Drosophila melanogaster: one gene and its partner. The gene in region 1 interacts genetically with each later gene. Each region holds a gene or a part of one and is shown on either strand. Other genes may lie near its edges.

Region 1 (5,916 bases):
AGCTGCGCCTCCGTCCAGAAGCGCAGGTTAGGAGGACGTATGGCGGGCAGCGGCAGATGCAGTGACGGTAGGTCCGAGGCATTGGCCTTCATGGAGACGAGGTCCGCGTAAAGCTCCAAATCCTCCTTGCCCATCAAGGACTTCCTGCTCAGCAGCGTAAACATGTTCAGCGTAGCGCCCGAGGACAAAACCAGCGTCTTGGGCTCCTCCAGGTAGTGGCGACATGCCTGCTTGTACACCTTCACGCAGCTATTCCCGTTGACATGGACCACCTGCGATCGCAGCCCCAAGGAGCGGGCGTTGTTGGCGAATGCTTCGTGCTCGCTGGTGCGGAATGTGCACGGGAACTGCTGGCAGCAGCGCCGTCCCGCCAAGAAGTAGAGCAGCTGTTGCGGAATGTACTTGTCCTGGATGATGTGGTTCATTTCTGCTAGCTTCAAACAGATTGACACTAAATTAAGTGAAGTGCGCCGCAATGCGCGCGGCAATTGCAAGTTCCGTTATTGCCACCGTCGTGAAAATAGAAAAATGGCGGAATGGAACACAGGGCTGTATTTTCGCTGGCGCAAAGCTTGCTCATTAAGGGTATTCCTTGCATATACTCAAACAAATGTGTAGTGGAAATTTGTAAAAAAAAAAGATCCAGGTGTCATTACAAACTGAATTATAAAACATACTTTGTTATTTTCAAAGAATAAGAGATAAGTTTCCAAGACGGGAGAGTTTCCTTTACAGGAATATATTAAAATATTCAATTCACAATCCCATAGATTCCATTCAAATGAAATGATTCACTTTGTACTAATATGCTTTTGCATTCTTTATTTTTTGAAATGAATGTACATGTTAAATGAATTCTCCTCTAAAATGAGGCTGCGCCAAATTCGTTTAGATATCTTAAAGAAAACTTTGTTATATTGGAAATTCTCCGCAGATCCAGCATTATAAGTGCACAATCTTTATAACTAAACTTTCTTAGCGTAAGCCAAAATATATTTAATAAACAACAAAATACAAATCAAATTCTACTTAAGTGATACAATGATACAATTTTTACTGAGCTTTGGCGCAGAATTTATTTTGAAGTGTGTTTTATCAATTGTGTTATTAGCCATCCAGTGTCATCTTGTTTACAATTATCAAAATATCTATTACATATTAAATACAATTCTTAACTGGTTTGTATGTGGAATACATATATGTAAATTTAAGTAAGCTACAGAGGTGTTGGTTAACCACATTAACCACATCATTGGGTGACAGGCACCGCCTTAAAGAAAGTTTGACTTCTCCGCGGCGTTTTGAGATCCGCTGCTCTGGTTCGACCAACCGGTGTTCCCATTCTGGAATAGAGTAGAATAGATTCTGGCTGGGATCCAGGTTTCTTAGGGGATGGTTTCAGTTTTGACTCTAACCTGTGGCTCCGAGTTGTCGGTCTTTATTCCGTTGGCGGCCGGATTGTTGTTCGGGTTATTCGGCCCCTTCCGTCCACCAAAGTTGTTGGCATTGTTGTGGCCCCCGTTCTGAGCCATCCAAGATAGAAAATTGCCGCCCTGCGGAGCAAGTGAGAGAGTTTTTTGTTTGAAACAATGATTGAGGTGTGAAGGCTTGCCTGTTGGTCCTGGTTTTGGTTCTGCAGCTGGTTGCCGACCAGGCTCCACTGGTTCAAGGCGGCAGCGACCAGTGCGGGATTGATGGGCAATGAGTTGAGATTGAGCATTGACTGGTTGCTCATGTTTTGGCCCTGGTTGGAGGAGCTCGATCCCTGCGAGTTGATGCCCAGGGCCTGCAGGTTGGGCATGTCCAGGTGGCCACGGTTCATCCAGCCGTTGCTGCCGCCCACGTTGCCGTTATGCGGCTGGTTCATTCCGTGAAAATTCGACTGGCGACTGTTGTACTGGCTGCCGCCGTCCTGGCGGTTCGTGTTCCCGCCACTGGAGTGATTGCCGCCATTGTTGTGGTAGCCCCCGCCCGAGTTGCCGCCGTAATTGTTGCCACCCATGCCGTAGCCGGCGGTGCCAATGTTGTGATTATTGGGCACAATTGCGTTCTCACCGCCGTGAGCATTGTGTTGGTTATTACCTCGGTGGTGTCCGTTGCGGCCCGGATTCATGTGGTTACCCTGTGGGTGGTATGAGTGCATGCCAAAGCTGTTGGCAGAGTTGTAGTTGTAGCTCTGGACCTGTTGGTTTCTGTTCTGCTCGGCCTTTGGAGCAGCATTCGACACATGGACCGAAACGCCTGTGGAAAGTGTCTCATTAATTCCCTGATTCTTCTCCACGCGGCAGTGACTCACCCTTGATAATGTGATCCTCTCCGCACAGGGACTGTGCCACGTCGGGATCAAGGAAGGTTACAAAGCTAAAGGCCCTGAAGGGCCGGGGAATGAACACATCAGTGACTTCGCCAAACTTGGAGAAATACTCGCGCAAGTCGTCCGAGTTAATGTCCTCGGTGCAGCGGCCCACGAACACCTTGCAAGGCACCTGGTGGCCCATGCCCTATGAGAATAGAAGGATTAGTAGGCGTGAAATTGCAGGGCTAACAAGAGGACTTACCTTCGAGTTGGGCACCTTAACCTCGCACCAGCGACCGTCGATCAGATGGCGATTGGTGAGCACGCGCATCTGGGCATCGTAAGAGCCGAAGCGCACGAAACCGAAGCCCTTGGACTGGCCCGACTTGGTGTCCTTCTTGATCTGGGCCATCAGCACCTCGCCGTAGGTCTCGAAGTACTCACGCAAGCTCTCCTCTGTGGTCTTCCACGGCAAGCCGAGCACGATGAGATCAGTGCAGCGCAGACGGGTCTCGATGCGTTTGGTCTTGGCAGTTGAGTTCTCCAAGTTATCGTCGCTCTTGCGCTTGTTCTCTGCAGGGGGGGATTACAGAATTATTTAAGGTTCAACAGGGAGTCATACAACTCGAATTTACCCTTGGGAAAGACGCAAAAGTAAGCGTACTCGCCCCAGCCGGACTCCACGCTGGGCGGAAACAGTCTGCCCTCGTTGGAGCGAACTCCGCGCACAGCCTTCGTGTCCAGGTTGCGGTACTTCAGACCGCAGGATCCAGGGAACTGAGCTTGCAGTGTGGACAGAAGCAGAGTGCCATCCTCCTCAGCCGGCAGCTCGATGGGCTCGTCGCCCTCCTCCTCCGACACTTGAACGAAATCCATTTCCTAGAAGGCTGCTAGAAACGAGGAGGGGATTAAAGAACTCTATCGCCGCAGGGGCTCACACTTCGCTCTAGAAATGATCCACCATGTCATTCAGTCAACGGAAGCATCCCACATATTCTGCATCGCTGCATTCATGAATGCACTCACTCAGTTCATCCGTTCTATTCAGATGCATCCCAAGGTACAATATTCAACACAAAAAGGTTGCCCCGAACCACTCTATACACACATTGCTCGTGGGACCAAGCCAAAACAAAAAGGATCCTACACTAGGTCAATCTACTAAAAACGACAAATAAACAATGTTTCTATCTCTTGTAATTTCGATGATATAATTTTAGTAAGTATTACAAACATATTCATATATTATTAGTGTTCATGTTTAGGCGTTTCTTTACGTTATTATTAGTTAAAAATTCTCTGAATCAGACGCTACTTATGTCCCACCATCGGCTAAATGCCTATTCTACGTACATTTAGTTAATAAACAAAAGAAGAATACCCAATCCCAAGTTTACGATGTATGGCATACATATGTATATGTTTTGAACTACTCAAGAAAACAGATATTTCACCCACTTAATACGAGTAAACTGACGTTTGTGAGTGTGGAATCGCGGCAGGAATTGGAAAATCAATGAATGAAAGCCACATAAATTGAAAATATCCAATCCTGTCGTCTGTGTGTGAGTGCAAGTGTGTGGCACACACACACACGCACACAAACGCAATCGTCGAGGGGAGGACATAATGTGTAGACGGAGGCAGTTTGGCGGTCCTAAAAGATGGTTGGTTACACAACAATTCTTACACTATTGACAGGGATTAGTTGGTTGCTGTAATTTCTGACTGCGTATGGCAAGTAGATATAGATTTCTGATCCCAGATCTCAGATCGCACGCTCTCTCACACGAATTCGATTCACACCCAGGCAAAATCAGGTATTCACTGTACGTTCCACGCTCGGTTCTTGACACAACACACGCTTCGATGCACAACCACTTTCAATCGGTGCGAAATAGGAATCAGGTAATATTTACAATTGACAGCTTAACAAATTTTCAAACGACGAGTGAAGCATTTCTTCTCGCTTTCCGTTTTGATTTTCTTTTCCTTTGTATGTATCGCCTGACGTATGCGCAGTGTGGCCGAACAGGGCTAGTGAGAAATACCAGCCGGCGGGTAGATATACTAAAAGTGTATTATTTTTAGTTAAAACAGTGCATTGTCACATAAATTTTAATAGCCTCTTTATTAAACTATATGAGCGTTGATTGCCACTATGAATATCTAAGCAATATATTACATTACAATATGGCAATTATATTGGCATTTGGTACTGTCGAATAAAATACCAAACCTTGCAGTGCTGCCCATCAGCTATACCAAAAAAAAACTTGGCAGCATTGCGCATCGTGTTCATTTGAAATTTCGAAACACAAAACATTATAAATAAATTCAAACGAAATTAGCTCGCCATGGAAATGCGTACGATAAAAACAGCTAGACTTTATTAATCAATAACATTTATTATTTACAGCTGAAGGAGTTTCGATTGCTCTTGCAGACCGCGCTTGAATGACAAAATGCATTAGTTGGTTTCGAAATATTAATGATTGGCTAACAATTATGATACATTATTATTTATACACAATTAAAAAAGGCATCGCTGATTTGCACTACACAAATATTATTGTATTTTCTCGTAATATTAGTAAAATCACAGTGAAATATTACTGCACGCCGTAGAGTTGAAAATGTAGTTCTGGGCCTCCAGAATGTGCATTTCAGTTAAACATATAGCAACTAACAGGATAATGTAACCGCTGTACCGGATCGCGCGCAGGAAGTCCCACAGCTTGTCGCAGAAGATGCTCAGCAGGACGCAGTGCAGCAGGGCGTGCACGTTGACGATGCGCCACATCCAGGCGACGCAGAAGAACCAGGTCGACTTGAACACGTAATCCTGGCAATGCGACTGGTTGCCGCTCACGTCCTCGCGCTCCAGCATGTTCTGGTAGACGGCAATGTAGCGATTCCACGCCGTCGAGCTCAGCAGCAGCTGGCCCGTGAAGCTGATCACGTTCTTGGCCACCTTGCGCGTGGTGGCCTTCATCTTCGGTATCATCATGGTGGGCTCCGGCAGCTTGGAGTCGCTCATGGGTATGATCGAGTAGCCCCTCCGCGGTGGATTGTTCTTCAGGTAAAAGAATATGCCCAGCAGCAGCGCAATGCAGCCGAGTCCGTCGCACAGGCCGTCCACATAGTAGCCGGAGGTGCCGATCTCCGAGCGCTCGCCGCGTATGTGCTTGCGCACGCGCGCCACATGCCCGTCCAGGTCGTCCAGGAAGGTGCGGATCTGGAAGAGCAGCACGCCCAGCCGCCGATAGCCCAGGCTGTCCGAGGCCACCAGTTTGCCCGCCAGACAGGCCACGCCCACATGGAAAAACGATATCATGTTGGGCGTGATGAAGGTGGAGCGCGAGAAGCCGATCACGTTGTCGAACATGGTGGCCAGCGGGGCGAACAGGTAGTGGTTGGTGTGGTCCAACAGAATGGCCTTCACGGTCACATGGCAAAGCGGATTTATATCACAGGATATCCAGGTGTGGTCCTCGTAGGACGGCTGCCGGTCGCCGGCGGTGGGTAGTTTCGTACTGGTGCTGCTGCTACTGCTGCTGCTGCTGCTGCTGCTACCACCGATGCTGCCGGACCCGGACTCCGAGGTGGACGGACCCACG
Region 2 (3,721 bases), on another chromosome or scaffold:
AAATTACGAAAAACGAAATGTTTTTTTTTCTTCGAAATTCTGCAGCATGCGTATACACAGATTTTTGGGAATTTTGCTGCTTGTGTCGTTGGGCTATTTTAAAGTTTAAATGCTTATCGGAAAAGCTGCTCCATTTCGTTGGCTGTGCGCTTGTTAAATTTAGTTCCCAGACGCAAAAACTGTACGTACACAACAAGATGCCGGAGTTTTTCTTCTACCCTTAGTACTTTGCTCATCACAGTGCGACTTGGCTATAAACGATTGTATTCTAATTTGAATTTTCAAAAGAGCAGGCGATTTCATTTCACAATATTTCTTTAGCTTTGCAAAGCGTAAGCAAGTGTCATGATAACGAAAAGTGGATTTTCCCAGAAATATTTATAAATAATTTTGATAAGTTTACACAGAAAGTAAACTAAGTTTTTAGCGGAAGTGCAATATAAACAACATTTTGATTCTCGAAAAGAGGTTATCTTTAAAATCAAAAACAGAAATCGTTGTGAGTCCACTTATAAGTAAAAACTTTTGGAAACTGGAATATGTTGGGCCATAGAGCGCTTATTAAATGAATTTACAAAAATTTGCAAGGATGCAACTGACGCCTTAAGTTAGGCTTCATTATTTGAAGCCAGCTTGTGAGTCACTGGAATTTCATATTCTCTCGATTTTAATACGTTTTACATGACAAAGACAAAAGATGGGTAAATTTCACAATAGAGGGGGGTGGGGCTCTTTGTTGTGGGGAAGTTAGGGCGAGAGCGAAAGAAAGGCGAAGAAAGTGGGGAGCATGATGGCGAGGGGAGTGTCTGGAAGCTGCCAGAAGAGACAAGAGAGCGGGAGAGTGCGCATCCTCTCGCTCTTTTCACCTTCTGTTCGGTGTTTCTGTTGTTGTTCTTGTTTTTGGTGTGGCTGCAGCTGCGAAGCAACAATAACAACCACAACAGAGACTCGAAAACAGCTGCACACGAAAACGGTGGCTGTCAAACTGTTTTGCAAAATTTAAAATGTAACTGTACTTGGCAAAAACAATACATTTTGCTGTATTTCTGTATGTCGTAAAAGATCTTTCGACCTGGAAGCTGGAGAACACTTTTTCCAGCCACTTGGCCACCACCCCGCCTTTGAACAAACCAACCAATCGATTGGCCAGCTTATTGATTTTTCTATTCGAACATTTTGCATTTGTTGCTCGTTTCGGTCTTTTGCTTAGTGTGTTTGGTTCGAAAAAAGTATTGGCAATCATGTGGGCATCGACATACACACTTTTTTTTTATCACACCCACGCGAAAAACACGCGGCGCCAGCCAGACTAAAAGGATACAGGCAGCATATCCTGCACACACACACACACACGCGCGCACAAAAAAGCTCGCCAGGATCGAGTGGTGCAGTTGACCAGCAAACCGCAGCTGCTGACAGCCAATTTTGAGTAGCGGAAACAGTTGGAGCTGCTGCCCCGAAATGGGTACTCACTTGATCAGCAGCACTTTTTCGAATCAATATACCCGTCTATTCAATTTTTTTTTAAGCGGGACGAAGTCGCGCGCAACCACCGGCTTGCTGGGTTTGTTAGAGATGTGCCGATAACTCGCCACTGCGATAGCTCGAGTTGCTACTTTTTGTTGTACGCCACGCGCTTGGGATTTTAGCGAAATATGCGTGCCACAACTTAGCTTGTGCCGCAACCCCACACAGTGCTGCCACCTGTGGGCGAAAAAGTTACGTCTACATGGTGTTCTGGTCACACTGCCCCCGCCGTGACAAACAAAATAGAAAAAAAAATAAAACAAAAGATAAAATTTTAGCCTCCCCCCTTTGAGAAATAAAGGGTCATTTGAGGCAGTTTAAATCGAAAAGAATCCATAGGCACGGAGAGCCCAGCACACATAGAATGTTCCACTTCAGCGGCTTCAACATGATGTTCCCGGAGGGACGCAATTTTCATGCCAACTACAAGTGCTTCTCCGTATCCATGTTGCCAGGAAACGAGCGAACCGACGTGGAAAAGGGCGGAAAGAGTGAGTTACGAGTGTAGGCTGGACAGAAATTATGTGAACAACACATTCCATCCACAGTTATTATGCCTCCCTCGGCGCTGGACACGCTCACCCGCCTGAATGTCGAGTATCCAATGCTGTTCAAGCTGACCAACGTCAAGAAATCGCGATCCTCGCATGCCGGCGTACTCGAGTTTGTGGCCGACGAGGGCAAATGCTATCTACCCCACTGGATGATGGAAAACCTGCTGTTGGGTGAGGGCGACATACTCAACATCGAGAGTGTCTCGCTGCCGGTGGCCACCTTCTCAAAGTTTCAACCGCACAGCACCGACTTCCTGGACATCACCAATCCCAAGGCGGTGCTGGAGAATGCATTGCGCAACTTTGCCTGCCTCACCAGGGGCGATGTCATAGCCATTAAGTACAACAAGAAGGTCTACGAACTGTGTGTCCTGGAGACAAAGCCCGGCAATGCAGTCAGCATCATTGAGTGCGACATGAATGTGGAATTTGAGGCGCCAGTCGGCTACAAGGATCACTCCGAAACGCAGGCATCGGGCTCTGGGCAGCAGGGTGCTGCTGGAACTGTTGGCGGCGAAATCGCTGGAGCCACCAACGCCATACTCGAAGAGGTCGTGGAGACCTTCAAGGGTTCCGGCGTACGTCTCGATGGTAAGAAGAAGAAGGAAAGCCAGTTGGAAACGCCGGTCGTTAAGAAGGTGCTAGCCCGCGGCGTTCCAGACTATGATTTCCAGTTTGGACTCATCCGTTTCGATCGCAACATTCGGCCTATCAGTGATAGAAGCCAAGAAGATGATGCCGTAGCTGGCAATGCGGACGCTTCCGATGCGGAGAGCTTCCACGGCACCGGTTTCTCGATGAAGAAAACGCGCAAATAGCTCTGTATCTCTAGTTCTAGTTATATATTGTGTGACACATAGAAATTAAAGGAAAAACCTCACAGGGGCAGCGTCAACTTGATGGCCTCCTCCTTGGGCGGAGCCGGTGGCGATATGGTGGTCATGGGCGGCAATCGGCGTATCTTGCGTCCGTGTTTGCCTTCCTTGCGCTTCCACAGACCGGAACGTGGTCGATTGCCCATCTCCCGCATCCGCTGGGCACTGCCCACATGCTCCTTGTTGTGTTCCGGGTTGGACAGGCGACCAACCGTCGCCATGCAGGTGCGCTGGAAGGCGAACTCCCGCTTCGAGGGCAGCTGCACCACCACCTTTTCGTCGAACTTGCGCAGAATGGTGCCGAAGGTGCCGGCGGCATGGATCAGGTGGCACATCTGGCCGGGGTTCTTCTCCAGACAGTGAATGCGTGTGCCCACGGGCAAGGCGCCCAATGGATAGGCATCGCCTTCGTTGGGACGCACTATGGGATCATACAAAAAAAAAAAATTATATTGGCATAACTGGTTGTTTCAGAGCCAGTAAAATTTCTAGATTCCATGCTCAGTTTAAGACTATACTCAGAGGATTACTTAGAAAACGTTTAATACTCCCGATGAGTAACAGTAAGTAAATTTACCCGGAATCCTAGGAATAAAGCGCGAGGTCTTGAGGATATCGCCAGCCTTCATGTTCTCGGTGGCCAGGATGTACTTCAGCTCATCGCCGACGGCAACCAGGGCCACTTTGGCGGTGCGACAGCCATCGCGTAGCACCTCGAGTACCAGTTCCTCCTGGGCGCCCTCCGTGGGACCATCCCGCACCCAT

The links.
Region 2: of TBPH (region 1) and Ufd1, changing one enhances a phenotype caused by changing the other (phenotypic enhancement), as found in Drosophila melanogaster (one study listed by BioGRID).

The regions. Positions count from the first base shown.
Region 1 is NT_033778.4:23,858,275-23,864,190, forward strand, and holds TBPH (TAR DNA-binding protein-43 homolog), read right to left. Parts: upstream 4,320-5,916; 5' UTR 3,173-4,319; coding exon 2,932-3,172; intron 2,870-2,931; coding exon 2,559-2,869; intron 2,502-2,558; coding exon 2,297-2,501; intron 2,242-2,296; coding exon 1,613-2,241; intron 1,554-1,612; coding exon 1,416-1,553; intron 1,344-1,415; coding exon 1,272-1,343; 3' UTR 793-1,271; downstream 1-792. Other genes in the region: bgcn (benign gonial cell neoplasm), read right to left, coding at 1-425; Cpes (ceramide phosphoethanolamine synthase), read right to left, coding at 4,896-5,916.
Region 2 is NT_037436.4:11,121,219-11,124,939, reverse strand, and holds Ufd1 (ubiquitin fusion-degradation 1-like), read left to right. Parts: upstream 1-1,723; 5' UTR 1,724-1,891; coding exon 1,892-2,018; intron 2,019-2,075; coding exon 2,076-2,899; 3' UTR 2,900-2,958; downstream 2,959-3,721. Other genes in the region: mRpL2 (mitochondrial ribosomal protein L2), read right to left, coding at 2,959-3,377, 3,534-3,721.